4 linked regions of the Anolis sagrei genome follow. The protein of the gene in region 1 interacts with the protein of each later gene in a biochemical or structural test. Links are inferred from orthologs where the notes say so. Each region holds a gene or a part of one and is shown in the gene's direction. Other genes may lie near its edges.

Region 1 (6,978 bases):
TCATTCGGGAGGGAGTTCCATAGATGAGGGGCCACCACTGAGAAGACCCTGTTACTTGTCCCCACTAGTCGCACATGCATGGGGGGTGGAACCAAGAACAGGGCCTCCCAGAATGATCTTAGCCTCCAAGGTGGATCATAGAGGGAGATACATTTAGACAGGTAAGCTGGGCCGGAACCATATAGGGCTTTATAGGCTAAAGCCAGCACTTTGAATTGTGCTTGGTAGCAAACTGGCAGCCAGTGAAGCTGATGCAACAGGGGAGTTGTACGCCACTATGGTGACCTGTACGCCGCTATGGTGAGCAACCTGGAAGCCACCCATTGGACCATCTGAAGCTTCCAAACAGTCTTCAAAGGCAACCCCATGTAGAGTGCATTGCAGTAGTCTATTCTAGATGTAACAAGAGCATGGACTATCATGGCCAAGTCTGACTTAATGAATCTCCTGATTCACAATATGAAAACTCTTCCATTCCCTTTTGAGAGTCTTGGATAAGAGACACAGATGGAGAAGCTGGTAGTTTCTTGTTGTCCTGCTTGAATGGTAGAGGAGGTGGGAAGAACCTGGTCTCCACTCCTTCCTCTCCTATCAAAGTGTTGACAAAAGGCCACCAAGGCTAAACTGATGGATTGGAAGAACTTTCCATAGAAAAGCTTACTGTGAGCAGAAAGCTGGGTGGGTTTTATCAAAGGGGGAGTGGACTGGCTCTAATGTTTTAGCTGCAATACTGTGGTCTGGCCTGGCACAGAAGGAAGTCCAGCAGGGTGACATTGTGAGTTACCACATTGGGTGACACCAACCTTAGTGGTTCCACTGAAGTTTTGTAGCAGAGGGAGAAAATTATCTTCTCAAACCTATAACTCCCAGAGGTTTTTCCTCCATGACCACTATGAGATTCTGGGATTGTCAAGATCTTTGTATTTACATCTCCTTCTATGTACCAGTGCGGGCTCAGAGATCTGCCGGGGAGGCCCTCCTCTCGGTCTCAAGCAGGGTTGGTGGGGATGAGAGTGAGGGCCTTCTCAGGGGTGGCCCCCTGGCTTTGGAATGCCCTCCCAAAAAAGATTAGATTAGATTAGCTCCTACTCTCCAAGTTTTCCGAACAAATTGGAACACTTAGTTCTTCAAAGAGGCCTTGTTTAGGAATTATTTAATGATTATACCTGAGGACTCAGCTATTGTTTCACCTTAGCACTTTATGGGGCTGATATTAATCACAGTTTATTTTATATATTTTTATATCTGCAGTCATTGTTGCATTTTATTGATTTTTAACTAGTAGGGTTTTATGGCGTACTATTTGTTATAGTTATCGTACTATTTTTATGCACTTGCTGTAGTTGTATGTTTGCACTGTTGAGTGCTTTTGTGAGTTGTCTCGAGCCCCTTCGGGGAAATGGTGGTGGGATATAAATAAAGGTTTGTTTGGGTTTTTTTTACAATTATTATTATATTATTACTATGTCTAGTTAGGTTGTGAAACAGCATGAAAACTGTGTACATCAGTGCAACTCAAAAGTGGTGATCTATGAATTGGTAACTTTCCACAGTAACTTTCCACGAAAGAAGAATCTGTTGTAGTCAAATGTGATATCAGTCTTTGGACTATTAGGGGGGAAATAGCTGGTCAGAAAGTTTGAAGAAAACTGCTACAACATCCATTTCTTTTTGGACAATTAAACAGACTTTTGTAGCTAGATCAGTGGTTCTCGACCTGTGGGTCCCCAGATGTTTTGGCCTTCAACTCCCAGAAATCCTAACAGCTTGTAAACTGGCTGGAATTTCTGGGAGTTGTAGGCCAAAACACTTGGGGACCCACAGGTTGAGAACCACTGAGATAGATTCTGATTCTCTGATATTACAGTGCTCACATATTTTGATGGGGAGAGAGGGACAAATATAGTTTGCAATGAATGGGCTTTCAAAATAAGGGAAGGGTCCTACTGTATGAAATACAGATGCTCAACATGTGTAGTCTGTCTCCCAGCATATTGCTGCAGTCAGGTCCATAGCCAGGATTTTGATTCGCCGGGGGGGGGGGGGGGGGGTCAGGATCTATCATAGCAAACCTTTTGTATCATTATCCCAATACCCCCATGCATATGGGATATACTGAGCATGGTGATCAGATAATGATATGAATAAACATAACAGTTTAAATAATGTACCAGTAAGGCTTTCTCGCGGACCACCATGAGAATTTGGAGCGGGGGGGGGGGGGGGGTGTGGATCTCCCGGACCTGGCTGCCGTGAGCAAAACTTTGATCAATAAATGTCTATTTGTCACTCCACCGGGCTGCTATGAGTTTTCCAGCCTGCATGGCTATGTTCCAGAAGCATTCTCTCCTGACGTTTCACCCACATCTATGGCAGAGGTTGAGGGGTCTGTTGGAAACTAGGCAAGTGGGGGTTATATATTTGTGCCATGTTCAGGGTCGGAGAAAGAACTCTGGTCTGCTGGAGGCAAGTGTGAATGTTGCAATTGGCCACCTTGATTATCATTGAGTGGCCTTGCAGCTTCAAAGCCTGACTGCTTCCTGGCTGAACACTTCCCTCAAACAGGGAAGAGTTCTTTCTCCCACCCTAGACATTCCACAGATATACAAAACTCACTTGCATAGTTTCCAACAGACCTCACAACTTCTGAGGATGCCTACCATAGATGTGGGCGAAACATCAGGAGAGAATGCTTCTGGAACATAGCCATACAGCCCGGAAAACTCACAGCAACCCAGTGATTCCGACCATGAAAGCCTTCGACAACACAATAATGATGATAATTAGTGTTGGACTTTCTGTTACCATATGAATTCTTTTCATGATTCCAGTCATGAAAGCCTTCGACAACATATTGTCACTCCACTCTTCACACTACTGGATCCTTCATTGTGCAGCTTGAGGGATGTGATCTTTTCCACATTTTAATGGTCCTGATTGAACTCACTACACTTACATGTGTGTGAAAGGAAGGATTCTTGTCATCTAAAGCATTTTCTTTGACAGAGAAAATATTCAAAGTGTCATGTGGATCTAGGTTGTTGGCCTCCTTGGTGCATTTGGCTGCCGAATGTACATTGCGGCTGGCGACGGCTGCAAATCTGGACAGAGCCGGTGCCAATTCTAGGGGCATTTCTTGCTATGCACAGATTCCCCTTATAGGCCAAGAACGATTCTTGGCACTGGCACACAGGGATTTCAAAATGCATGGGAAACAAGATAGTAATCCTACCAAAGACTTTCAGATCTCTTTTAAGAGAATCCCGGAGGGCCTCCAGGTTCCACACCTTGCTCTGACAGGTGCCAGCCCTGAGTGCTTAATAGGCACAGCCTCTTCCCAGTTTCTGAGCCTGAGGAGGCCTGGCAAGCCAACTCGACTCGCGTAATTGGAGAGAAGGGTACAAAGCCAGCTTTTGCTAAATCTGAGAATGTGGTGGGTGACTTTCACACGGTTTTCGGAGGCATAGAGATCTTGATTCAGTCCAGAGAGACACAACAAAATGGGGCAACAGAATTGGAAGGGTCAGCAAGATACATCTAGTTCAGGCATGGGCCAACTTGGGCTCTCACTCCAGGTGTTTTGGACTCCAACTCCCAGCATTCCTAACAGCTTAAGCGGCTGAGGGGGGAAAGGAAAGGGCCTGAGGCTGTTAGGAATGCTGGGAGTTGGAGTCCAAAACACCTGGAGTGAGAGCCCAAGTTGGCCCATGCCTGTTCAAGACTGTTGCCGTTTGACAAGACCTTTTAGCCCTCTCTGCCAAAGAACTAGGTGCTGTAGCTTGGTCAGCACCGGCACTTTTTCGTAGAGAGAGCAGCAGACCTTGTAAAACTACAACTCCTAGGGCTCCAGCAGCGTCAATCAAACTGCATTCGTTCTGCAGCGCTGCAGATGCAATTGCCGCAGGCGCTTGGGCGCGAGCCTGGGAAGGAGGAGGAGGAGGGGCGGGGCTCGGGAAGGTAGTATGTGTATCGTGACAAAGCGCAGCGAGGAGGTTCTGTGGAAATTCCTGGGCGGGGCCAAATGCAGCCAGGCCACGCCCCCTTCGCGCGGAGGGGGCGGGGCCTCGCCGCCTATATATATAGCCCTGCGGTGGAATCTGGAGCTCAGAACTGTCGAAAGAGGGGAGAGAAGGAGAAGAGAAGGAGAAAGAAGCTTTACGGGAGGTGAGCGCCTCTATTGCTTGGGAAGGCTTCATATTTTGCTGTCTTTGGGTAGCTTTGCAAGCTCTATCAGAGGACAGTTTGGGGTGTATATTATAGTGGGATCTATATATATAGTTTGGGCTCTATATACATATTGTTGAAGGCTTTCATGGCCTGAATCACTGGCTTTCTAGAAGCATTTTCTCCTGACGTTTCGCCTGCATCTATGGCAGAGGTTGTGAGGTTTTTTGGAAACTAGGAAATACTATGTATGTATGTATATGTATGTATTACTTCTATGTTTATTGATGTACCCTCCTCGGCTCTCCCTAACCCCCCCCCCCCCAAATGCCATTATAAGTAGTATCACTTTTGGGTTGCTGTGTGTTTTCCGGGCTGTATGGCCATATTCCAGAAGCATTCCCTCCTGACGTTTCGCCTGCATCTATGGCAAGCATCCTCAGAGGCTGTGAGTTATCACTTTCGCCTTGACATCCTTTCTATTTCCTCTCTTTGACGGGGCTAATTTCTCTCTCTCTCTGTGTGTGTGTGTGTATAGATAGATAGTGTGTGTACACACACAGAAATATTATCCCCATCAAAGGAAGGAAAAAGAAAGGATGTCAAGGCGAAATATATATTTTCTCTCTGTGTGTATGTATGTATATATATATACACACACATATACATACACAGAGAGAAATATTAACCCCATCAAAGGGAGGAAATACAAAGGATATCATGGAGAAATATATACAATATTGTTTTTATTGTTTCTTATATTACATGTTAACGTTTTTACTTATATTTATGTCTGGGGCATTGATTGCCGACTGTAAGCCGCCTTGAGTCGCCTTCGGGCTGAGAAAGGCAGAATATAAATATGGCAAATAAATAAATATATTCTCCCCTTGGGACGAAGCATCTTGTCCCTTTCCCCCTGTGTGGACTGCTCCTCCAATTCCCTTTTATGTCGGAGGAGAGGACTGGTCCTTGGTCCTTCATTAGGCGATGTTTGGCTTCCCTTTCCACCTGTCCTCCCTTTCCAGGGCGCCTTTTCCCTCCGTATTTTCCCCCTCGACACCTTTGACCAACCTGTCGCCTTGAAACCGAGCCAGATCCCCCCAAAAGGTTGCTTCAATCCAGCGGCCAAACCCGCGTATGGCGGTCATGCCCATCGCAGGAGAAGGAAGCTGACCTCACCTTCTTCTCAGCCTCCCCCCCCCCCCCTTGACCCCAATGGTAGCGGCCGCTTTGTTCGAAGAGACTTGGAATGCGCGCTCAGGAATTGGGCTGTCTCATTTGTTCAGGGTTGGGGGGGGGGGCGAGAGAGACGCGGTAGGTACTCATCTATAGAGCATATAGAGCAGGCATGGGCAAACTTCGGCCCTCCAGGTGTTTTGGACTCCAGAGTCCAAAACACCTGGAGGGCCGAAGTTTGCCCATGCCTGCTCTATGTGGTCTGAAGAGCTGCTGTCGCCGCCGGGGCTGTTCCCCTGCCTGGCCACACGGGGCGCTGTGGAGTCTCCGGGAAGGGGAGCTTGCCAGGGCATGTCCTGCCTTTGGACTCCAGGGAGGGGAGAGTGTTGCCTCTGCTGCCGCCGCCTGTGACTCAGGGTGACGGTCGCTTTCCTGGGGCTGAGATCAGAGTCTGGGCCCAGGGTTGGGCTCAGGGAATGGAAGGGGAGGAGGAGGAGGAGGAGGAGGATGCATAAGCCAGAAGCAGAAGCATCCCCTCGCCTTGGCTTGACGAAGGCAGGAAAAAGCAGGAGGGAGGGAAGTGCTGCTGCTGCTGCTGTGCTGCTGTGCTGCTGGGTGGGACTCGAAAGGCGCACGAGTTCTCTTGACTCCCCGCCAGACCCGCGATGTTCTCTCGCGCTTTGCTTGGGAACTCCGTGTTCCCGACTTGACTTGGGATCTTGTTGTTGCTGCTGCTGCTGCCGCCGCGCGCACACACTCGACCCAAGTATTTTTTTTTCTTTTCTTATTAGGGCAAGAAGCACTGCACAGAACTCGCTGCTCGTTTGGCACTGCTAAGGCTCCCTTGCTACCATTGTCATTTCCTTCTGATGAAATGCACTCGCCCTCCCCCGGCGTATCCGTGGATTCGGTATCCACGACTTGAATATGTATTTAATTATATATCTTCTCTGTATATGGATTGATATATAATTATAATATAACTATAATGTTAATATCGACCTAATATTAATACAATACACAATTATCATATAATATAACTATAATATTAATATTGACATAGTAATAATACAATACACAGTTATAAAATAATATCGACATAATACAGCACACAATTATAATATAACTATAATATTAATTCGACATAATACACCACACCATTATAATATAATATTAATAACGACATAATATTAATACAATACACAATGATAAAATAACTAATATCAACATAATATTAATACAGCACACAATTATAATATAACTATAATATTAATATTGGCATATTAATACAATACACCATTATAACATAATATTAATAACGACCTAATATTAATACAGTACACAATTATAACATAACTAATACTATTAACGATCTAATACATCATTATAATATAATATCTACATAGTAATAATACAGTACACAATTATAATATAACTATAATATTAATGGATTGACCTTGAAGGAGCTGGGGGTGGTGACAGCCAACAGGGAGCTCTGGAGTGGGCTGGTCCATGAGGTCACAAAGAGTCAGAAACGACTGAATGAATGAACAGCAACATAATATTAATATTGACATAATAAATAAACAATTATAGCTATATATAATATTAACATCATACAAGACAACATTATAA
Region 2 (7,093 bases), on another chromosome or scaffold:
TTATTTTATATATTTTATATATTATTTTCTTATCTGTGCTTCCTTACCTGCCTCCCGGCCCATCCCAAGAGCACCTGCCTGCCTCCCTGGCCTCCACAATGCCTCCGGAGCCATGCAGGCAGCACAGGCCAGGGAGGCAGACCTTCCCCGCCACACTTTCGGGGTCTGTGGAGGCCAGGGAGGCAGGCCTTCCCTGCCATGCCTCAAGCCGCTTTTGGGGTCCCTGGCGTCCACTGGATGTAAATATTTAATATTTAATATTTTTATTAATATTTTCAAAAACCTACGAAACAGCGGGTCTGCTAAAAGTGAACCGCAAAGTAGCGAGGGAACACTGTATACATAATAGGGGTTCAACAGGAACAAACAGTGGGAAATCTTGCGGAAGCACAACAGTGACCCTGGGCAAGTCACATTCTCTTGGCGCCAGAACAATTTGCAATAGGTTTGCCCTAAGAAGTTTGTAAATCAGAAATGACTTAAAGATACACAACAGATGCTGCAATACGGTATTTTATCTTGAGTCAGCCAGAAGGCCCTGAAAAAAAATCCTTAATAGCCTGACTCAGGGGTTTCACATATATTTGAGGGAGCTTTGTTCTGCAAAGCAGTGTACACCTAATGGTAATACTACAAGTAGTATAACCTTAGACATGTTGTCTCAGAAGTTAGTACCATTGTGGCTCCATCTACACTGCCATATAATGATTTATGTAATACAGGTCAGTACAGCGAAACTGCACTATGAGTTTACTGATTAAGGGTACATTTAACTCCAAAAGACACATTCATCAAAAAGGAATTTTCACTCTGCAGCCCTTGGATCCAGATCCTCAAAAGCAAATTCCTTGCATTTTGAAGTGCTTCGATATTTTTTTTAATCGAGATGGTATTCAAACTGATTTACAGACGATTTTCACATTCCATAGATTCTGAATTCATGGATTCAATTACTCACAGTTAATTACTCACAGTTAATTACAGTAATTTTTGTAAGATATAATTTTATTAGGTTTGCTGGGGTGCATTTCTACTGTACAATAACAACAACAACAACAACAACAATAATGGGTTGCTGTGAGTTTTCCAGGCTATATGGCCATGTTCCAGAAGCATTCTCTCCTGACATTTCGCCCACATCTGTGGCAGGTATCCTCAGAGGGTATAAGGTCTGTTTGAAGCTAGGCAAGTGAGGTTTATATATCTGTGGAATGTCTGTTTGAGGCAAATGTGAATGTTGCAATTGGCCAGCTTGATTAGCATTGAATAGTCTTGCAGCTTCAAAGTTCTTTCTCCCACTGGACATTCCTCCAAGGGGAACTGAACCACCTAAATTGAGCTCTACAGGCCAATGGATACTCCACCACAGACATCAGAAGAGCTGCAAAACCAAGAACAAGCCACAAGAGTAAAGACAAAGATCCACCCAGAGGAAAAGTGTTCTTGCTATACATCAAGGGAACCATCGACCGCATAGGGAAGCTGAGGAGGAAACACAACATACAAATAATCTACAGACCCACTAAGAAGATCTAACACATGCTGCGTTAAGCAAAGGACAAGAGGGATCCTCTCACTTATTTATTTATTTATTTGCTATACTTGTATTTGCTATACTTCTCAGCCTAGCCGGCGACTCAACGCGGTTTACAACTTATAACAAACAACAGTATACAGTTTAAAAGCATAAAAACACGATCCACAATACATATATCAATAAACAATCCAATTCATCTCTTGACTAAAATCGCGATCCAGTTTCGTAGTCCAAATTGCCAGTCCTTCAATCATTACACTTATTGCACTGAGTTAACCGAACGCCTGCTCGAACATCCAGGTTTTTAGTCTTTTCCGGAAAACCATCAATGAGGGGGCTGATCTTACCTCCATGGGGAGGGCGTTCCACTTCTGCAGGAGTCTACCGTATACCATGCAGCTGTGGACAAGTCTACATAGGGACCACCAAACGCAGCGCCCAAACACGAATCAAGGAACATGAAAGGCACTGCAGACTACTTCAACCAGAGAAGTCAGCCATAGCAGAGCACCTGATGAACCAACCTGGACACAGCATATTATTTGAGAACACAGAAATGCTGGACCACTCTCACAACTACCATATCAGACTGCACAGAGAAATAATTGAAATCCATGAGCATGTGGACAATTTCAACAGAAAGGGGGGGGAAAGAAAATGAACAAAATCCCACGCCAAAGTTCCCTGTTGGCCGTCACCACCCCCAGCTACTTCAGAGTCAAGCCAAGCACTTCAAGGATACCATCCATCCATTTTGCCCTTGGTCGGCCCTCTTCATTTTCCCCAGCATAATTGTCTTCTCTAAGCTTTCCTTTCTTCTCATGATGTGGCCAAAGTACTTCATCTTGGCCTCTAATATCCTTCCCTCCAATGAGCAGTTGGACTTTGTTTCCTGAAGTATGGACTGACTGGATCTTCTGGCAGTCCAAGGCACTCTCAGAACTTTCCTCCAGCACCACAGTTCAAAAGCATCTATCTTCCTTCGCTCAGCCTTCCCTATGGTCCACATCCATAGGTGACTATGGGGAATACCATTGCTTTAACTATGCAGATCTTCGTTGCCAGTGTGAAGTCTCTACACTATTTTATCAAGATTGGTCCCAAGAAGTAAGCGTCTCCTGATTTCCTGACTGCAGTCTGCGTCTGCAGTAATCTTTGCACCTAGAAATACAAAGTCTGTCACTGCCTCCATGTTTTTTCCCTCTATTTCCCAGTTGTCAATCAGTTCAGTTGCCATAATCTTGTTTTATATATATATATATATATATATATATATATATATATATATATATATAACTGCAACCCAACGTGAAGGCAGTGACAGACGTTGTATTTCTACGTGCAATCAGGAGATGCTTATTTCTTGGGAGGAGAGCAATGTCCAATCTTGATAAAATAGTGAAGAGTAGAGACATCACACTGGCAAAGAAGATTCACACAGTCAAAGCAATGGTATTCCCCATAGTCACCTACGGATGTGAGAGCTGGACCATAGGGAAGACTGAGTGAAGGAAGATTGATGCTTTTGAGCTGTGGTGCCGGATGAAAGTTCTGAGAGTGCCTTGGACTGAGAGAAGATCCAACCAGTCCATACTTCGGGAAATAAAGCCTGACTGCTCATTGGAGGGAAGAATAGTAGAGGCCAAGATGAAGTACTTTGGCCACATCATGAGAAGACAGAAAAGCTTAGAGAAGACAATGACGCTGGGGAAAATGGAAGGAAAAAGGAAGAGGGGCCAACCAAGGGCAAGGTGGATGGATAGTATCCTTGAAGTGACTGGATTGACCTTGAAGGAGCTGGGGGTGGTGACGGCCGACAGGGAGCTCTGGTGTGGACTGGACCATGAGATCACGAAGAGTCGGAAACAACTGAACGAATGAACAACAACATAAGGCTCCTTAGCTCCTCCTCGCTTTTGGCCATCACAGCGGTATCATCTGCATACCTAATGTTAATGTTTCTTCCATCAATTTTCACCCCAGCCTTGCATTCGTCAAGCCCCGCACATCGCATGCAAGTTGAATAGGTTGGGTGAAAGTATACAACCCTGCCGCACGCCTTTCCCAATCTTGAACCAGTCTGTTGTTCCATGGTCTATTCTGACTGTTGCTACTTGTTCCTTATACAGATTCCTCAGGAGAGAGACAAGGTGGCTTGTAATGCCCATCCCACCAAGAACTTGCCACAATTTATTATGATGTATGAGTTGCAAATCTACAACTCCCAAAATCGGATGACATTGAGCCAGTGGAGATGGAATGAAATCCTAGTCATTGTACTGGACGATCCTTTGAGCAGGACATGGGAAACTACAACTCCCAGAACGTGCTTCCTTGCAGGACCCTTTCGGCGATCGATTAGGCATGCCGCGTAGGAGGGAGGCTTTTAGAACGTTGCCCGGGAATCAGCTCTGCTGATTCCCGGGCAACGTTCTAAAAGCCTCCCTCCTACGCGGCATGCCTAATCGATCGCCGAAACGGATTGAGAGCAGAGCCAAGCAGGGTTCGATCTCTCTGCGCTCGGCATTGAACTGCGAGAGCCTGGCAAGAGCCTCCAATGCGCCGCGTGCTGCCCCCATTGCTTTTGCTGCTCGCATCCTTCCCTTCCTAGCACAGCCATGGCGGAGCCTGCAGAGAAGCAGTACCGCGTCGAGTACGCCAAGAGCGGCCGGGCTTCGTGCAAGAAATGCGGCGACAACATCGCCAAGGACTCGCTCCGCCTGGCCATCATGGTGCAGGTCAGCCTTTCTTGTTCCTTCTCGCAGCCGGGAGCAGCGCCACGTTGCCTCGCAGCCTCAGGCCCCATTCGCAGGGCAGCCTGGGGTCAGTGCAGACTCCTATGTATCATGCAGCTCTTGCACATGAGCCTAAATTGGGGCATCACTCATGCACGGAACACGCCCCCTCTTTCTATTTATTATGTCGCCTCTGGGAAGGTTTTGCTGCTCTTCACTGCAGGGAGGGAGTGGGTAGATAAGATATCCATCTGGGAGTCATGATTATCATTGCATTTATCTATGTTTCACTTATCTATCTCTCTGGAAAAAAGAGACTCAAAAGATTCTCACAACACGAAAAAACAATGCAAAATTGGAGCTTGTTTCTGAAGCGTTTTTAAAGAAATAATTATAATACTAGCCGTCCCCTGCTATGCGTTGCTGTGGCCCAGTCTGGTGATCTGGAAAATGAAGTAATGAGAAAGTGTTTGTTTCTAAAATATGTAATTTCTTTATGCTTGTGTGTAAACAGTATTTCTTATTGGGTTTTTTTTTTTGTCAGTGTTGATGTGGAGAGTGTCTGGAACATAAAACCTACTCTGGAACATAAAACATATCATTGTCCTTCTTTAGGGGTCCCTTTCAAATCTATGATACTATATCTCTGTGTGTGTGTGTGTGTGAATCTGTATAAATAAAAATGTAATGTTGGTTTGTGGGCTTAACATAACTCGTAAAACACTGGACAAATTGACACAAAATTTGGACACAAGACACCTATCAGGCCAACGAGTGGCCATCACTCATAAAAACACTGAAAAACACAGCAAAAGAAACTTAAAAAGCAAAAAAAAAAAAAAAAACAACCCCACATTACAATGCATGCACAAAACCACACGTGTGCACACACACACACATACATAAACACACATATATATGCACACAAAACACAGATACACTAGGCCACAGCAAAGCATGGCGGGGGGGGGGGCTAGTCATATATATCTATATCTATGACTAGATGGCTCTTTGTCAGGAGGGCTTTGATTATGTTTTCTTGCCCTGATGAAGAGAGTTGGACTGGATAGCCTTAAGTATTTTCTGTTGGTCATGGGGGTTCTGTGTGGGAAGTTTGGCCCAATTCTGTCGTTCGTAGGGTTCAGAATGCTCTTTGATTGTAGGTGGACTATAAATCCCAGTAACTACACCTCCCAAATGTCAAGATCTATTTCCCCAAACTCCATCTGTGTTCATATTTGGGCATATGGAATATTTGTGCCAAGTTTGGTCCAGATCCATCATTGTTTGAGTCCACAGTGCTCTCTGGATGTAGGTGAACTACAACTCCCAAACTCAAGGTCAATGCCCACCAAACGCTGCTAGTATTCTCTGTTGGTCATGAGAGGCCTGTGTGCCAAGTTTGGCTCAATTCCATCGTTCAGAATGCTCTTTGATTGTAGGTGAACTATAAATCCCAGCAACTACAACTCCCAAATGACAAAATTCAATTTTTTAAAATGATGGTCACTCATTGGGTTAGTAGGTGTTATGTGGCCAAATTTGACGGCAATTCGTCCAGTGGTTTTTGAGTTATGTTAATCCACAAACGAACATTACATTTTTATTTATATAGATAAAAGCCCTGCTGAAAAGATGCATTCTTTGGCTATAGAATGCCATGTTCCAAGCACTGTATAAGTGGTTTGATACATTTTGATAGTTTGGATCAGTACAGAGAATAATATTGTAATATAGTAACACTAATATATTGGCATTGTACATGTTTATGTATCCATACTGTACACTGCTCTGAGTCCCCCCTCAGGGTGAGAAGAGTGGTATACAACTGCAGTAAATCAATAAATAAACAATAACTCCCAGGATTCCATAGCATTGAGCCAGACCAGTTAAAGTGGTATTAAACTGCATTAATTCAATGATGTAGATACAACCATAGTCCTGCTTTGCCATATGGTGTGCGCTCGCCTACCTTTTAAAGAAAATGTTTAAGGCTGAACTATATAGTGTTTTTAGGCATGTTCATAGAATCATAGAGTTGGAAGAGACCTCATGGGCCATCCAGTCCAACTCCCTGCCAAGAAGCAGGAAAATCACATTCAAAACACCCCCGACAGATGGACATTCAGTCTTTGTTTAGAAACCTCCAAAGAAGGAGCCTCCACCACACTCTGGAGCAGAGAGTTCAGAAAGCAAATGTTTCATGATCTCAAACACACATGTGGATAATTTTGGGTCATTTTGGAATTCTTGGTAAAGAATGCTCAAGCTATACTTAAATTATTTGCAGAGTCCGTCTGTAGTAGATTTAAAGAGGAGCATATTGTTTTGAATTCTGTAGGAGATACTTGTTTGAACAGGATTGTCTATAGATCCCTCCAGAATTATGCTGTTTTTCTTTCTCTTGGATGTAGCAGTTATAATGGATTCAAAGCACTTAGCAAATACAAGGACTTGCATTGTCCTTACTTTTTCTGGGCAAGACTTCTTGCTATACTTTTGCATGAAAGTTCTTGCAATCTTGATGCCCAGGGAGCCAGGAGTGCTAAACATTTTCATTGTATTTTGTTATTGGGAGAAAGGTCTCCTTGTAATCTAGTCTTCAGAAACATCAAGACAGTAGTCCATTAAAAAAAACCACACACACAGTCAATGCTCCACATTCACTGAAAATGAAGGAAGGGAGCAATTTTTTAAAAATTACCTAAGGGATTACCTCTCTAGAAATCTCTAGGTCTTCTATCCTGACTCCTTTGGAAGCACTGGGAGACTTACAGGTGCCTTGAGAAGTAGTTTCTCTAGATGGTCCAATCACATATTT
Region 3 (7,112 bases), on another chromosome or scaffold:
GAAATTGTTCTTCATTTTAATTATTGTATTGTTTTTAAGTGTTTTTTGCACTACAAATAAGATATGTGCAGTGTGCATAGGAATTCATTCAAGTTTTTTTCAAATTATAATCCGGTCCTCCAATAGTTTGAGGGATTGTGACCTGGCCCTCTGTTTAAAAGGTTTGAGGACCCCTGTTCTAGACCAATGCTTCTTAAACTGTGGGTCCTGATCCCAACTAAATGGGGTGATGAAAAATGTGGCAACAGTAAAAGGTTTCTGAATGCCACCTAGTGGCTGTTTTAGACATTTACACAGATTGGTTGTGCAGAGTTTGCAGTGGACTCTGCGGAAGATGCTTCAACCAAAGTAAGTAAAAAAACAAATAAATAAAAGTATCACAATAAAAACAATTTATTTATTTATTTATTTACTTTGCTTCTATACCGCTGTTCTCAGCCCGAAGGCGACTCACAACGGTTCACAAGACACAGGACACAGCAGAATTCAAACACCAATATAAACAATTAATACCCTAATCTAATACACAATACACGATTACTATGATAACCATTCACTAGCGTCTCGTCACTAAAAACATGATCCAAATGTGTTATCCATTGTTCCATTCCTATGTCATTACCAGTCTTGCACTAATTATTCGAACGCCTGCACAAATAACCAGGTCTTTACTTTTTTGCGGAAGACCATTAGAGATGGTGCTAATCTAATATCTGTGGGAAGGGCGCTCCACAGCCGGGGGGCCACCACCGAGAAGGCTCTGTCTCTCGTCCCCGCCAGCCGTGCTTGTGAAGCTGGCGGGATCGAGAGCAGGGCCTCCCTGGAAGATCTCAAAGTCCTGGTGGGTTCATAGGCCGAGATGCGGTCGGAAAGGTAGCTTGGGCCGGAACCGTTTAGGGCTTTAAAGGTCAACACCAGCACTTTGAATTGAGCCCGGTAGCAAGTCGGCAGCCAGTGGAGTTGGCGCAATAATAATAACAGATAAAAGTATAATAAAATAAAAATATAATAAATATAAAAATAATAGTGTCACAATTAAAATAATTTTTAAAATCGTTGTTGTTGTTTATTCGTTCAGTCACCTCTGACTCTTTGTGACCTCATGGACCAGCCCACGCCAGAGCTCCCTGATGGCTGTGGCCACCCCCAGCTCCTTCAAGGTCAAGCCAGTCACATAAAATAATATAATGTAATAAAAATAATTGCATTGTGTCATGTTTGCTATCTGCAGCTTTGAGTCCGTAAATTGGGAGCAAGGCTGGACAATATCAAAGTATGTAAGTCAATCAATGAAAACAAGCATAATAATAAAAATAAGAAGGATAATAATAAAAAATAAAAAGTATAAAATAAAGATTAAAAATGAAAGTATCCTAAGACTAACTATAAGAATATTTTTAAATTAAAAAATCAAACAGATACTCAGTATAAAACATTATAATAAAACTAAATGCATTTGTATAAAAATAAGAAAAATGAAAAAGTATAAATAAAAAAACAAAATATAAAATATAACAAAACCAAAAGTATTTTATCAATAGAAAAAATGAAATTTAATGTACTGGAATAAAAATGAAAGCAGTATAAAGATAAAAATAAAGATATAATAAAACAAAGGTATTTCAATTATAAAACCAAAAACAACATGAAGATCAAAATGAAAGCATTCTAATATAATAATAATAATAATAATAATAATAGTAATAATACCTTTATTTGTAGACTGCCCTCTCTCCCTGAAGGGATTCAGGGAGGTTTCCACCATATATGGCAAACACTGAATGCCAATAAAAAGACATAAAAACAAATTACATCAAAACAGGATACATCAAACAATATAAGACAGCGTAACTATAAACTTAATACTAAATAAAAATTGACCAAAAATAAAACTTAAATAACTTAAAACTTAAATAAGTATCATCATAAAAATAAGAGTATTATTAAATGAAAGACAAAAACAAAAGATAATAAATAAAATATTATCATAAAAATAAAATTATTCCAATAAAAATAAGAACAATGAAAATAAAAAGATTATAAAGTTAATAAAATAAAAGTACCCTAATATCCCAATATAAAAGTATCCTAATATAGAAGTATCATAAAAGAAAAAAGAAAAGAAAAACTAAACATAATAAACAAAAATTATAATAAGCATAAAAGTATTCCAATAACAATAAGAAGAACAAAGAAAATATTATAAAATCAAAAATAAAGCTTAAAAAGTACCCTAACATATAAGCATCATAATAAAAATAAAAGCATTACAAAATCTCAGACAGAATAAAAACTAAATATAATAAATAATAAAAAATATTACCATAAAAGCAAAAAATGACTTAACACATTATCCATAAATTACCAATAATTGTGCATTGTAATTGCTTATTGGTAATTTATGGATAATGTGTTAAGTCAATTGTTATATGTTGTATGGAATCACTGCTGTTTCTACTGTTTTTACTGTTTGTGAACCGCCGTGAGTCGCCTTCGGGCTTGAGATACAGCGGTATATAAGCAAAGTAAATAAATAAATAAATAAATAAAAGTGTTACAAATAACAACAGGAAGAACAATGAAAACAAAAGTATTCAGAAGTAAAGATAAAAGTATCCTAACAGAAAAGTATTTCGTTGTTGTTGTTTATTCACCCAGTCGCTTCCAACTCTTCGTGACCTCACGGACCGGCCCACGCCAGAGCTCCCTGTCGGCTGTCACCACCCCCAGCTCCTTCAGAGTCAAGCCAGTCCCTTCAAGGATACCATTATTTGTATATTTATTAACTTTATTTGTATACCGCTCTTCTCAGCCCTTAGGCGATTCAGAGCGGTTTACAACAATTTAGGTATTTGTTGTTGTTCATTCGTTCAGTCGCCTCCGACTCTTCGTGACCTCATGGACCAGCCCACGCCAGAGCTCCCTGTCGGCCGTCACCACCCCCAGCTCCTTCAGAGTCAAGTCAGTCACTTCAAGGATGCCATTCATCCATCTTGCCCTTGGTCGGCCCCTCTTCCTTTTGCCTTCCACTTTCCCCAGCATAATTGTCTTCTCTAGGCTTTGCTGTCTCCTCATGATGTGGCACAATACAAAATCATTAAGCATTTAAAAGCAATAGCATCACAAATCATTAAACATCAATATCAATACATCACTACATCAATATAACAAATCCATCAGGTCTCCTCAATGAAATCAGAATCCAAACTCGTTATCCGATATTCCGTGTTCCGATAGTCAGTCAATCAATCACAGTGCTTAGTTGAATGCCTGTTCAAACAGCCAGGTCTTTACTTTCCTCTGGAATGCCAGCAAGGAGGGGGTCGATCTAATATCTGCAGGAAGGGCGTTCCACAGCCGAGGGGCCACCACTGAGAAGGCCCTGTCTCTCGTCCCCGCCAGGCGTGCTTGTGAAGCCGGCGGGGACGTTTTGCTGTTGTAATTTTTGCGTTTTTTTTTTAAATACTCAATCAAAGGATTGTAATTTTTTAAAAAAAAAGATGGGGAAAAAAGAGGAGGAAAAAAAATGAAAGTATGGTAATAAAAAAATTAGCATCCTAATATAAAGGTATTTAGAAAATAATAAAATAAAATAAACCTAAATATAAAATATTCTTAAAAGTGTTTTTTAAAAAGTGAAAATAAGAAAAACGAAAGGATTGTAATAAAAAAAAGTTGGGGAAAAAAGAAAAATAAGAAAAAACAAAGGTATTGTAATAAAAAATAGTATCCTAATATCAAAGTATTGAAAAAAATCATAAAATACAAAACTAAATCTAACATATTCTTAAATGAGGGTGTTTTTTTTAAAAAATGTGAAAATAAGCAAAATGAAAGGATTGTAATTTTAAAAAGATGGGAAAAAGAGAAAAATAAGAAAAATAAGTATTGTAATAAAAAATTAGTATCCTAATATAAAAGTATTTAGAAAATAATAAAATAAAAAAACTAAATATAAAATATTCTTCAAAGCGGTTTGTTTTTGTTTTTTTTTAAGTGAAAATAAGAAAAATGAAAGGATTGTAATTAAAAAACAAAAAAGGATGGGAATAAGAGGAGGAAAGAACAGGCGGGCGTTAGGACCGCGCGGACGCCGTCGGGGGGCGGGTGGAAGAGGGAGACACGCAGACACACTCACCCAGGGCGCGAGTGAGTCAAAGGAGGGAAGCGGGAGGAACTGGGATCCGCCGCAGGAGCCAAGGCGGCAGAGGCAACAAGAAGGAGGAGAAGAGCGGCAGCAGCAGCAGCAGAGACCCGCAGCGCGCGCCGCCTGCCTGCTTCCTTTGCTGCCTCCCTCTCTTGGCTGCTCTGCTCTGCTTTCCATGGGCTGATCCCTCGCGCCGGAGCCGCAACTGCAGCAGCAGCAGAAGGAAAGGACGAAGAGGAGGAGGAGGAGGAGGTTGCAGCCCTTCCTTCCTTCCTTCCCTCCTTCCTTCGTTCCTAGGCCTCAGCTCCTCTTCTCCTCCTCCCTCGGCGGCATGTAAGTGGGCCCGGGCCTCCCTCCCTCCCTCCCTCGGGGTGATTCCTTTGGCTCCCTCCCTTCCTATTTTGGTGTCCCTTTGGTGCATTCATTGTCCAGGAGGAGGGCTGGATGCAAAGCTTCGGGGGAAAGGCCTAGATGCTTGGAGATGGGTGTGTACACACACACACACACACACAGACACAGAGGCATGCTTTTCTATATATATATATGCATGCACCTTTAGACACAAACATGCATGCACATGCATACACACAAGGCATCTCTCTCTCTCTCTCTCTGTGTATATACTCTCACAAAAACAATGCACAAGCATGCATAGATCTGTACACACATGCATGCACGTATACACAATGCATATATATCTCTGTAAATATATATACTCACACAAACACACAATGCACAAGCATGCATAAATCTATACACATGCATACACACAATGCATCTCTATATATATACTCACAAACACCATGCATGCACATACATCTCTCTCTGTATATATATATATATACTCACACAAACACACAATGCACAAGCATGCATAGATCTATACACGTGCATGCACATACATACACACAATGCATTTCTCTGTATGTATATATATATATACACACTCAAACACAATGCACAAGCATGCATAGATCTATACACACATGCATGCACATACATATACACAATGCATATCTCTCTCTCTGTAAATAATATATACTCACACACAATGCACAAACATGCATAAATCTGTACACGTGCATGCACATACATACATACACACAATGCATCTCTATATATATACTCACAAACACCATGCACATGCATGCACATACATCTCTCTGTATATATATATATACTCACACAAACACACAATGCACAAGCATGCATAGATCTATACACAGATGCATGCACATACATATACACAATGCATCTCTCTCTCTCTGTAAATAATATATACTCACACACAATGCACAAGCATGCATAAATCTGTACACATGCATGCACATACATACATACACACAATGCATCTCTATATATATACTCACAAACACCATGCACATGCATGCACATACATCTCTCTGTATATATATATACTCACACAAACACACAATGCACAAGCATGCATAGATCTATACACAGATGCATGCACATACATACAATGCATCTCTCTCTGTATATATATACTCACACAAACACAATGCACAAGCATTCATAGATCTATACACACATGCATGCACATATACACAATGCATCTCTCTCTGATATATATATATATATACTCACACAAACACAATGCACAAGCATGCATAGATCTATACACACATGCAAGCACATACATACAATGCATCTCTCTCTGATATATATATACTCACACAAAAACAGAATGCACAAGCATGCATAGATCTATACACTCGGGCATGCACATAGATACAATGCATCTCTCTATATATATATACTCACAAACACAGTGCACACCCATTGTATGCACATGTCTTTAGGCATAAGCTATATACACATGCATGCATGCGCATAGATACAAACAATAGACACATACACAATGCATATATACTCAGAAAACAAAACACACACAATGCACGCACATTGTATGCATATGCCTTGAAATACAAGCTATATGTGCATGCATGCACATAGATACAAATAATGCGCACATACACTACACATGCATTGTATGCACATGCCTTTGGATACAAACGTGCATAAATCTATACACACAATGCATATATACTCAGAATGCAAACACACAATGCACATGCATTGTATTCACATTACTCACATGCCTTTGGACACAAACATGCATACATCTATACATATAATGCATATATATAGACTCATAATGCACACACATTGTATGCACATGCCTTTAGACACAAACATACATGGATATATACACACATGCATACATGCACATAGATACACACAATGCATATATTATATATACTCACACAAACACAATGCACATGCATTGTATTCACATACATTTAGACACATACATGCATACATCTACAGTATATATATATAATGTATATCTCTCTTACACACAATGCACACACATTTTATGCACACGACTTTAGACACAAACATGCATGGATCTATACACACATGCATGCACATAAACACAATGCATATATCAACATACATATTCTCACACAATGCACACACATTGTATGTACATGCCTTTAGACACAAACATACATAGAACTATACACACATGCATACATCCACATAGATACACACAATGCATATATATATATACTCACACAAACACAATGCACATGCATTGTATTCACATACTTTTAGACACAAACATGCATACATCTACAGTATACATATAATGCATATCTCTCTCACACACAATGCACACACATTTTATGCACACGACTTTAGACACAAACATTCATGGATCTATACACACATGCATGCACATAAACAATGCATATATATATATATTCACACAAACACAATGCACATGCATTGTATGTGCATGTCTTTAGACACAAACATGCATAGATCTATACATACAATGCGCGTGCGCACACACACATATATATCTCACACATGCATTGTATACACATGCATTATTTCTTTATTTATATACCACTTTTCTCCCATGGGCATACAG
Region 4 (7,559 bases), on another chromosome or scaffold:
GGACATTGGAAATATGCAGGGATTGGGATGCTCTCAAATAAATCCAAGGAGAAGAAAGCTTGCTGCTTGGAAGCAGTGCATTTGAAGCATCCTCCTCTCCTAAAGGGCCTGGTCTAGGGGATGCTGGGAGATGTAGTCCAGAACAGAGTGTGGATATGCTGTTGCTATTGTGTGTTTTGTTTGCTGGGGGAGTCATTTTGTGCATGTGTTGTAGCATCTTTTTGCTTTTTTGGCTTTTTAAGTCCCTTCTGCTGTGTTTTTCAGTGTTTTTGTGAGTGATGGTCACTTGTTGGCCTGATAGGTGTCTTGTGTCCAAATTTGGTGTCAATTCGTCCAGTGGTTTTTGAGCTATGTTAATCCCACAAATGAACATTACATTACATTTATTTATTTATTTATTTATTTATTTATTTATTTATTTGCAGTATTTATATTCCGCCCTTCTCACCCCGCAGGGGACTCAGGGCGGATTACAATGTACATATACATGACAAATATCCAATGTGTCGCAGCTCAGGATAGATTCACCTTGCTCAGAACAACACCACACTCCAAGGCTGTAGGTTTCGTAGTTTATTGAAGAAAAAGCAAAATCAGAAACATAAGAATAAGGTTTCTGAATAAGGTTGCCACAACACAATGGCATAGACACACAACATATATAGGCCGACACTCAGAGGCTATTTAACATTCCAGCTTCTGGCCACCAGGGAAGCTGTCACTTCACTGCAGTTTCTCATGAGAATATGGGCCTAGCAATGATAATTCCCTCCCTCCCTCTATGAGCTCTCAAGATTTGGGTTTGGAAAACAATCTGACACCTGAGAATTTTAATGAGCAGCCAGAAAGGGAGCTGAAGAATAGCCAAAACAGAGTCTTAAATGCAAAGGCAAAGTTTCCAATATCCAAAGGCAAATAACATGAAGTATAATCCATTAGCATTGGTTAAACAAGAATCCATGGCAGCATGACAAGGTCCCCAAAAACCAAGATCAAAAGCTAAGTCCCAAAGAGCTAAAAGCTTTCCCCAAAAGCCGAGTTAATTCCAGAGAGGTTAACGGGGTTTAAGCAACATTGCACTGGCAAAGGATTGACTTCAATCAGATCGTTAAATATGTTTCCCTAGCATGAAAGCATTACGTTGACCTCAAACTTCCCGTTTGTTGGCAAGCTGAGCACTTTGACATATCCTTAATTGCAAACAGTCCTCCCTAATCAAATCTCCATCACCTTCAAGGCCAGATAACTCATTATCCTGAGACTGGTTATCCTGGGAACCAAGAGGCACTGAGCTCCCAGATGGAGCGGCCGACTCCACCGGCAGATGTGAAGATTCACTTAAATCATGATCTAAAACAACATACCCTTCTCTGGGAAACAGAAATGCCGTCTCTTCTTCAGAATCAACACTGTCTGTCTCAACAACAGGGACAGAAATCTGTAACCCATCCTCCTCCTTGTCCTGAGGAAACTCAGGCTCAGAAAGCTCAGGCTCAAAGTGAGCCACAACACAATGGCATAGACACACAACATATATAGGCCGACACTCAGAGGCTATTTAACATTCCAGCTTCTGGCCACCAGGGAAGCTGTCACTTCACTGCAGTTTCTCATGAGAATATGGGCCTAGCAATGATAATTCCCTCCCTCCCTCTATGAGCTCTCAAGATTTGGGTTTGGAAAACAATCTGACACCTGAGAATTTTAATGAGCAGCCAGAAAGGGAGCTGAAGAATAGGCTGCAGGTGATTAGCCAGGATCGACAGCAAACTTCAGTGTTTTCGTTGCTCTGAAAAACTTTGCCTGATAAGGGGTAAATGTGGGAGAAAGCGAAACCAATTTCTGAGTTTTGGGGTATAAGGTTTGCCTCAAGGGGAAACCTATTAGATCAGGCATCGTTTGGAAATCAAGTTCATGTGCCAGGAGCGGGACGCAGGGAGCATACAACGCCCTTGTTGTTCCAGCTCCACTGGCTGCCGATATGCTACCGGACCCAATTTAAGGTGCTGGTGTTATCCTACAAAGCCCTAAACGGTTCCGGCCCAAAATACCTTTCAGACCGCATCTCGGCCTATGAGCCCACGAGGGCCTTGAGATCGTCTGGGGAGGCCCTTCTCTCGATCCCGCCTGCTTCACAGGCACGTCTGGCGGGGACGAGAGAGAGGGCCTTCTCGGTGGTGGCCCCCCGGCTGTGGAACGCCCTCCCTGTTGACATCAGGCAGGCGCCCTCCCTTATGTCTTTTCGTAAGAGCCTAAAGACATGGCTATTTGAGAAGGCATTCAATTAAGTGTACATCAACTGGTAATGACAACTGGAACGGAATATGGATTACGAGTTTGGTTATGATTCTACGATAAGACGGAGCGGATTACCTTAGTATAATTATATTAGTGTGTATTAGTGATATGTTGATTTTTTGTCGTGCTTTATTGTAAACTGTTTTTTATATGTTGTACACCGCCGTGAGTCGCCCTAAGGGGCTGAGAACGGCGGTCAACAAATGCAGCAAATAAAATAAATAAATAAATAAATGGAAATCCTGTTCAAGGGGTCCTGTTTCTCTGGAGTCTTTTAGCCTTTTGGATTGTCTTTGCATCCTGTTGATTCCTGTCTGGATTAATGCTGTCTTGGATTGCTTTTATATCTGGTGTGGACATTGCTTTGTGTTACTACCTTTTATGGACTTACCACTTTTTGGAACATTCTTATTTTCTTACAAGCATTTATTACTTCTGGCTATTTACTAAGCTTGAATAACATATTTGTTTCTTCACTCTTCGTGTGGTGTGTTTTAAAGTCAGAGGGCTTTTTCCTGACCTGGAGTGCAACAGTTATAATATATATAATATATAATATATGTTGCAACATTTGTTGTTCTCACTAGATTTGGAATATTGTGATTCTGATGGAAATAAGAAAGAAAAATATAAGGAAATATTTTTTCAGTCAATTTCTTGTACAGCTGGAGGGATCTGAAGATAATTTTCTGTTCATCTGCATATGTACATTCTCACCTGAATGTAAAAGTAATTGAATTTACAGGGTTGTTGTAGGTTTTTTCGGGCTATATGGCTATGGTCTAGAGGCATTCTCTCCTGATGTTTTGCCTGCATCTATGGCAAGCATCCTCAGAGGTAGTGAGGTCTGTTGGAAGTAGGAAAAAGGGTTTATATATCTGTGGGATGACCAGGGTGAGACAAAGGACTCTTGTCTGCTGGAGCTAGGTGTGAATGTTTCAGCTGACCACCTTGATTAGCATTTGATGGTTTGGCAGTGCCTGGGGGAATCTTTTGTTGAGAGGTGATTAGATGTGCCTGATTGTTTACTCTCTGTAAACAGCAAAACAACAGAGGGGAAACAATCAGGCACATCAAAGAGTTGGAAGAGACCTCATGGGCCATCCAGTCCAACCCCATTCTGCCAAGAAGCAGGAATATTGCATTCAAATCACCCCTGACAGATGGCCATCCAGCCTCTGTTTAAAAGCTTCCAAAGAAGGAGCCTCCACCACACTCCGGGGCAGAGAGTTCCACTGCTGAACGGCTCTCACAGTCAGGAAGCTCTTCCTGCTGTTCAGATGGAATCTCCTCTCTCTGACAGTGCCTAGAGCAAACTTTTTTGAGAGGTGATTAGATGTCCTTGTTTGTTTCCTCTCTGTTGTTGTGCTGTTGTAATTTTAGAGTTTTTTAAATATTGGTAGCCAGATTTTGTTCATTTTCATGGTTTCCTCTTTTCTGTTGAAATTGTCCACATGCTTCTTGTGGATTTCAATGGCTTCTCTGTGTAGTCTGACATGGTGGTTGTTGGTGTGGTCCAGCATTTCTGTGTTCTCAAATAATATGCTGTGTCCAGGCTGGTTCATCAGGTGCTCTGCTATGGCTGACTTCTCTGGTTGAAGTAGTCTGCAGTTTGGTGGTCCCTATGTAGGCACATGTAATCACCTCTCAAAAAAAGATTCCCCCAGGCACTGCCAAACCATCAAATGCTAATTAAAGTGGTCAGTTGAAACATTCATAGTATATATAATATATGTTGCAACATTTGTTGCTCTCACTAGATTTGGCATATTGTGATTCTGATGGAAATATAAAAGAAAAATATAAGGAATTTTTTTTTCAGTCAATTTCTTGTACAGCTGTGACACAGTTATTGTTGATGAAGTCCCAAAGAGGTGAATTGAGCTTTTAAAAGAAGATTCCAGCTATTCAGTTTACCATAATAGGAGAAATAATAGGTTTTATTTGTAGATTTTGATGTAAACAAAAACTGACCCGCCCAACGTGGGGCTCGAACCCACGACCCTGGGATTAAGAGTCCCATGCTCTACCGACTGAGCTAGCCGGGCGCTGACAAAGACCCCTCACAGAACCTTCCTTGTGGAATTCTTCGCGCATGCGTATTCGCAGATTATCGATTGTGGATTTCTACGCATGCGCATTCTTTTCCTCTGCTGCCGCGCGCCAACTGCGGCTGCCGTGACTGGGCGCATTCTTGGCCCCGCCCCTTCTGCTAACGGCGAGAGGAGATTGGTCGAAGCTCCAGAGGCGGTTGTCCAATGGTTGGGCGCGTTGCTGAGCAGTGACTGAGCAGTGTGAGTGAGGCGGCGGCAAAGAAGAATCAGGAGGGCCGGCTGTTTGCTCTCAGGCCTCTTCCGCCATGAGTTCCATCGGCACCGGGGTAAGTCAGGTAGAGGAGAAGGGAGAGGGCTCCCCCGAAAAGGAAAACAAAGGCGGTGGTGGTTAATCTCTCCTCACTTCGAGGGTCTCGGCCTCACACAGTGCGGTGACGTCATATCCGCGCGACTCGTAGAGAGAGGCCTAGCCAGTTGTAGGCCGCTGACTCACTTGAAGGGAAAGCGAAAGCGAAGGAATCAAGTAGGAGCTTCTAGACCAAGCCTGGCCCAACTTGGGCCCTCCAGGTGTTTTGGACTTCAACTCCCACAATTCCTAACAGCCTATGACTGGTATAGACACATCCATAGTCCAATGTTTAAAGCATTACACCATCTATTTTCCTATATAACAGTGTTGCTCAACCTTCCTAATGCCGTGACCCGTTCCTCATGTTGTGGTGACTCCCAACCATAAAACTATTTTAGTTGCTACGTCCCACCTCGGAATTTAAGATCTTCTGGGGAGGCCCTGCTCTCGGCCCCACCTTTATCACAAGTGAGACTGGTGGGGACGAGGGACAGGGCCTTCTCGGTGGTGGCCCCTCGCCTGTGGAATGCACTCCTCTCCTTCAGAAGGAAGTTAAACACCTGGATGTGGGACCAGGCCATCGACCTCAGAGTTTAAGATCTTCTGGGGAGGCCCTGCTCTTGGCCCCACCTTTATCACAAGTGAGACAGGTGGGGACGAGGGACAGGGCCTTCTCGGTGGTGGCCCCTTGCCTGTGGAATGCACTCCTCTCCTTCAGAAGGAAGTTAAACACCTGGATGTGGGACCAGGCCTTCGACCTCAGAGTTTAAGATCTTCTGGGTGCTCTCGGCCCCACCTTTATCACAAGTGAGACAGGTGGGGATGAGGGACAGGGCCTTCTCGGTGGTGGCCCCTCGCCTGTGGAATGCACTCCTCTCCTTCAGAAGGAAGTTAAACACCTGGATGTGGGACCAGGCCTTCGACCTCAGAGTTTACTCAGCCCCCCCGAAAACCCCCTGAAAAAAAATCACACCCCCCCCCGAAACGAAATCCTAGCTATGGGCCTGGCTGTGACTGTATTATTTTGATTGTTTTAATTAGTTATAATTGTTGACATTATCTTGGAATTTTGTATATTGTATTTTGTGAATTGTCGGCCATCGAATTGTGCCTTTTGTAAGCCGCCCTGAGTCCCCCCTAGGGGGTTGAGAAAGGTGTGGTAGAAGCACCCCAAATAAATAAATAAATAAACTTGATTTGTCGTGTCAGAGCAACCAGTCAATTATATTACATTTGTAACAGAACAAAGCAAACAAACAGACAAAATACAAAACTTGTGAGTTTGGTAGTTGGTTAAATGTCCTTTGACCAGTATCTGGCCACTTGGAGTGCCTCCGGTGTTGCTGCAAGAAGGTCCTTCATTGTGCATGTGGCAGGGCTCAGGTTGCATTGCAGCAGGTGGTCAGTGGTTTGCTCTTCTCCACACTCGCATGTCGAGGATTCCACTTTTTTTGGCCCCATTTCTGAAGGTTGGCTCTGCATCTCGTGGTGCCAGAGCGCAGTCTGTTCAGCGCCTTCCAAGTCGCCCAGTCTTCTGTGTGCCCAGGGGGGAGTCTCTCATTTGGTATCAGCCATTGGTTGAGGTTCTGGGTTTGAGCCATAAACTGTCATTTTGCTATTGTTATGAAACGTGATGTAAATATCTGATATGCAGGATGTATTTTCATTCCCTGGACTAAATTTGGCACAAATACTCGTTACGCCCAAATTAGAATTCTGGTGCGATTGGGAGAGAGGAGTTATTTTTGGGGATTGGAGTTGCTGGGATGTATAGTTCACCTACAATCAAAGAGCATTCTGAACCTCACCAATGATGGAATTGAACCAAACTTGGCACACAGAACTCCCATGGCCAACAGAAAATGCTGGAAGGGTTTGGTGGGTATTGACGTTGAGTTTTGGAATTGTAGTTCGACTACATCCAGAGAGCATTGTGAACTCAAACAATAATGGATCTGGACCTAACTTGGCACGAATACTCAATTATTATTATTATTATTATTATTATTATTATTATTATTATTTATACCCCACCACCATCTCCCCAAGGGACTTGGTGCGGCTTACATGAGGCCAAGCCCAACAGCACATCAATAAAACAGAAAAACAATAAACAAAACAATACAATGCTATACATTGTATTGGGACTAGAATATGCCCAAATGCAACCACTGGTGGGGTAATCACACCAAATTTGGCAATAAAACGTCTCACAACACAAGGAGTGACCATCACTCAAAAATTACGATTTTGTCATTTAGGAATTGTAGTTGCTGGGATTTATAGTTCACCTACAATCAAAGAGCATTCTGGACCTCACCAATGATGGAATTGAACCAAACTTGGCACACAGAACTCTCATGGCAAACAAAAAATGCTGGAAGGGTTTCGTGGGCATTGACCTTAAGTTTTAGAGTTGTAGTTCACCTACATCCAGAGGGCACTGTGGACTCAAACAATAATGGATCTGCACCAAACTTGGCACGAATACTCAATATAATAATAATAATAACAAATAACAACAAATAACAACAAATTAAACATTTAAACAGTATAAAACCACAATAGAAGCAATAAAAACAACAAAACCAACATCATTATCATCGGCGTCTCCTAGTTAAATAACGTTGTCCAAGTTCCATTGTTGAATGACAATGCTTGCTCATATAACCATGTCGTAACTTATCTCCGAAACGTTAAGAATGAGGGAGCTGATCTAATCTCCTTAGGGAGGGTGTTCCATAGCCGAGGGGCCACCACAGAGAAGGCCCTGTCTCTTGTCCCCACCAAACATACTTGTGATGAGGGCGGGATTGAGAGCAGGGCCTCCCCAGACGATCTTAAAGTCCTAGATGGTT

Evidence for each region.
Region 2: the proteins of CDKN1A (region 1) and PARP1 form a complex in vitro, tested with the Homo sapiens proteins (2 studies listed by BioGRID). The link is inferred for Anolis sagrei from reciprocal best matches to the Homo sapiens genes CDKN1A and PARP1.
Region 3: of the proteins of CDKN1A (region 1) and AKT1, one has a biochemical effect on the other in vitro, tested with the Homo sapiens proteins (2 studies listed by BioGRID, with this or other methods). The link is inferred for Anolis sagrei from reciprocal best matches to the Homo sapiens genes CDKN1A and AKT1.
Region 4: the proteins of CDKN1A (region 1) and PSMA3 form a complex in vitro, tested with the Homo sapiens proteins (4 studies listed by BioGRID). The link is inferred for Anolis sagrei from reciprocal best matches to the Homo sapiens genes CDKN1A and PSMA3.

Annotation. Positions count from the first base shown.
Region 1 is NC_090024.1:187,209,885-187,216,862, reverse strand, and holds the start of CDKN1A (cyclin-dependent kinase inhibitor 1), read left to right. Parts: upstream 1-3,953; 5' UTR 3,954-3,962; coding exon 3,963-4,164; intron 4,165-6,978. UniProt on the Homo sapiens protein: Plays an important role in controlling cell cycle progression and DNA damage-induced G2 arrest. Involved in p53/TP53 mediated inhibition of cellular proliferation in response to DNA damage.
Region 2 is NC_090021.1:39,857,590-39,864,682, reverse strand, and holds the start of PARP1 (poly [ADP-ribose] polymerase 1), read left to right. Parts: upstream 1-4,067; 5' UTR 4,068-4,155; coding exon 4,156-4,275; intron 4,276-7,093. UniProt on the Homo sapiens protein: Poly-ADP-ribosyltransferase that mediates poly-ADP-ribosylation of proteins and plays a key role in DNA repair.
Region 3 is NC_090021.1:328,325,079-328,332,190, forward strand, and holds the start of AKT1 (RAC-alpha serine/threonine-protein kinase), read left to right. Parts: upstream 1-4,109; 5' UTR 4,110-4,480; intron 4,481-7,112. UniProt on the Homo sapiens protein: AKT1 is one of 3 closely related serine/threonine-protein kinases (AKT1, AKT2 and AKT3) called the AKT kinase, and which regulate many processes including metabolism, proliferation, cell survival, growth and angiogenesis.
Region 4 is NC_090021.1:334,685,892-334,693,450, reverse strand, and holds the start of PSMA3 (proteasome subunit alpha type-3), read left to right. Parts: upstream 1-4,549; 5' UTR 4,550-4,657; coding exon 4,658-4,678; intron 4,679-7,559. UniProt on the Homo sapiens protein: Component of the 20S core proteasome complex involved in the proteolytic degradation of most intracellular proteins. This complex plays numerous essential roles within the cell by associating with different regulatory particles.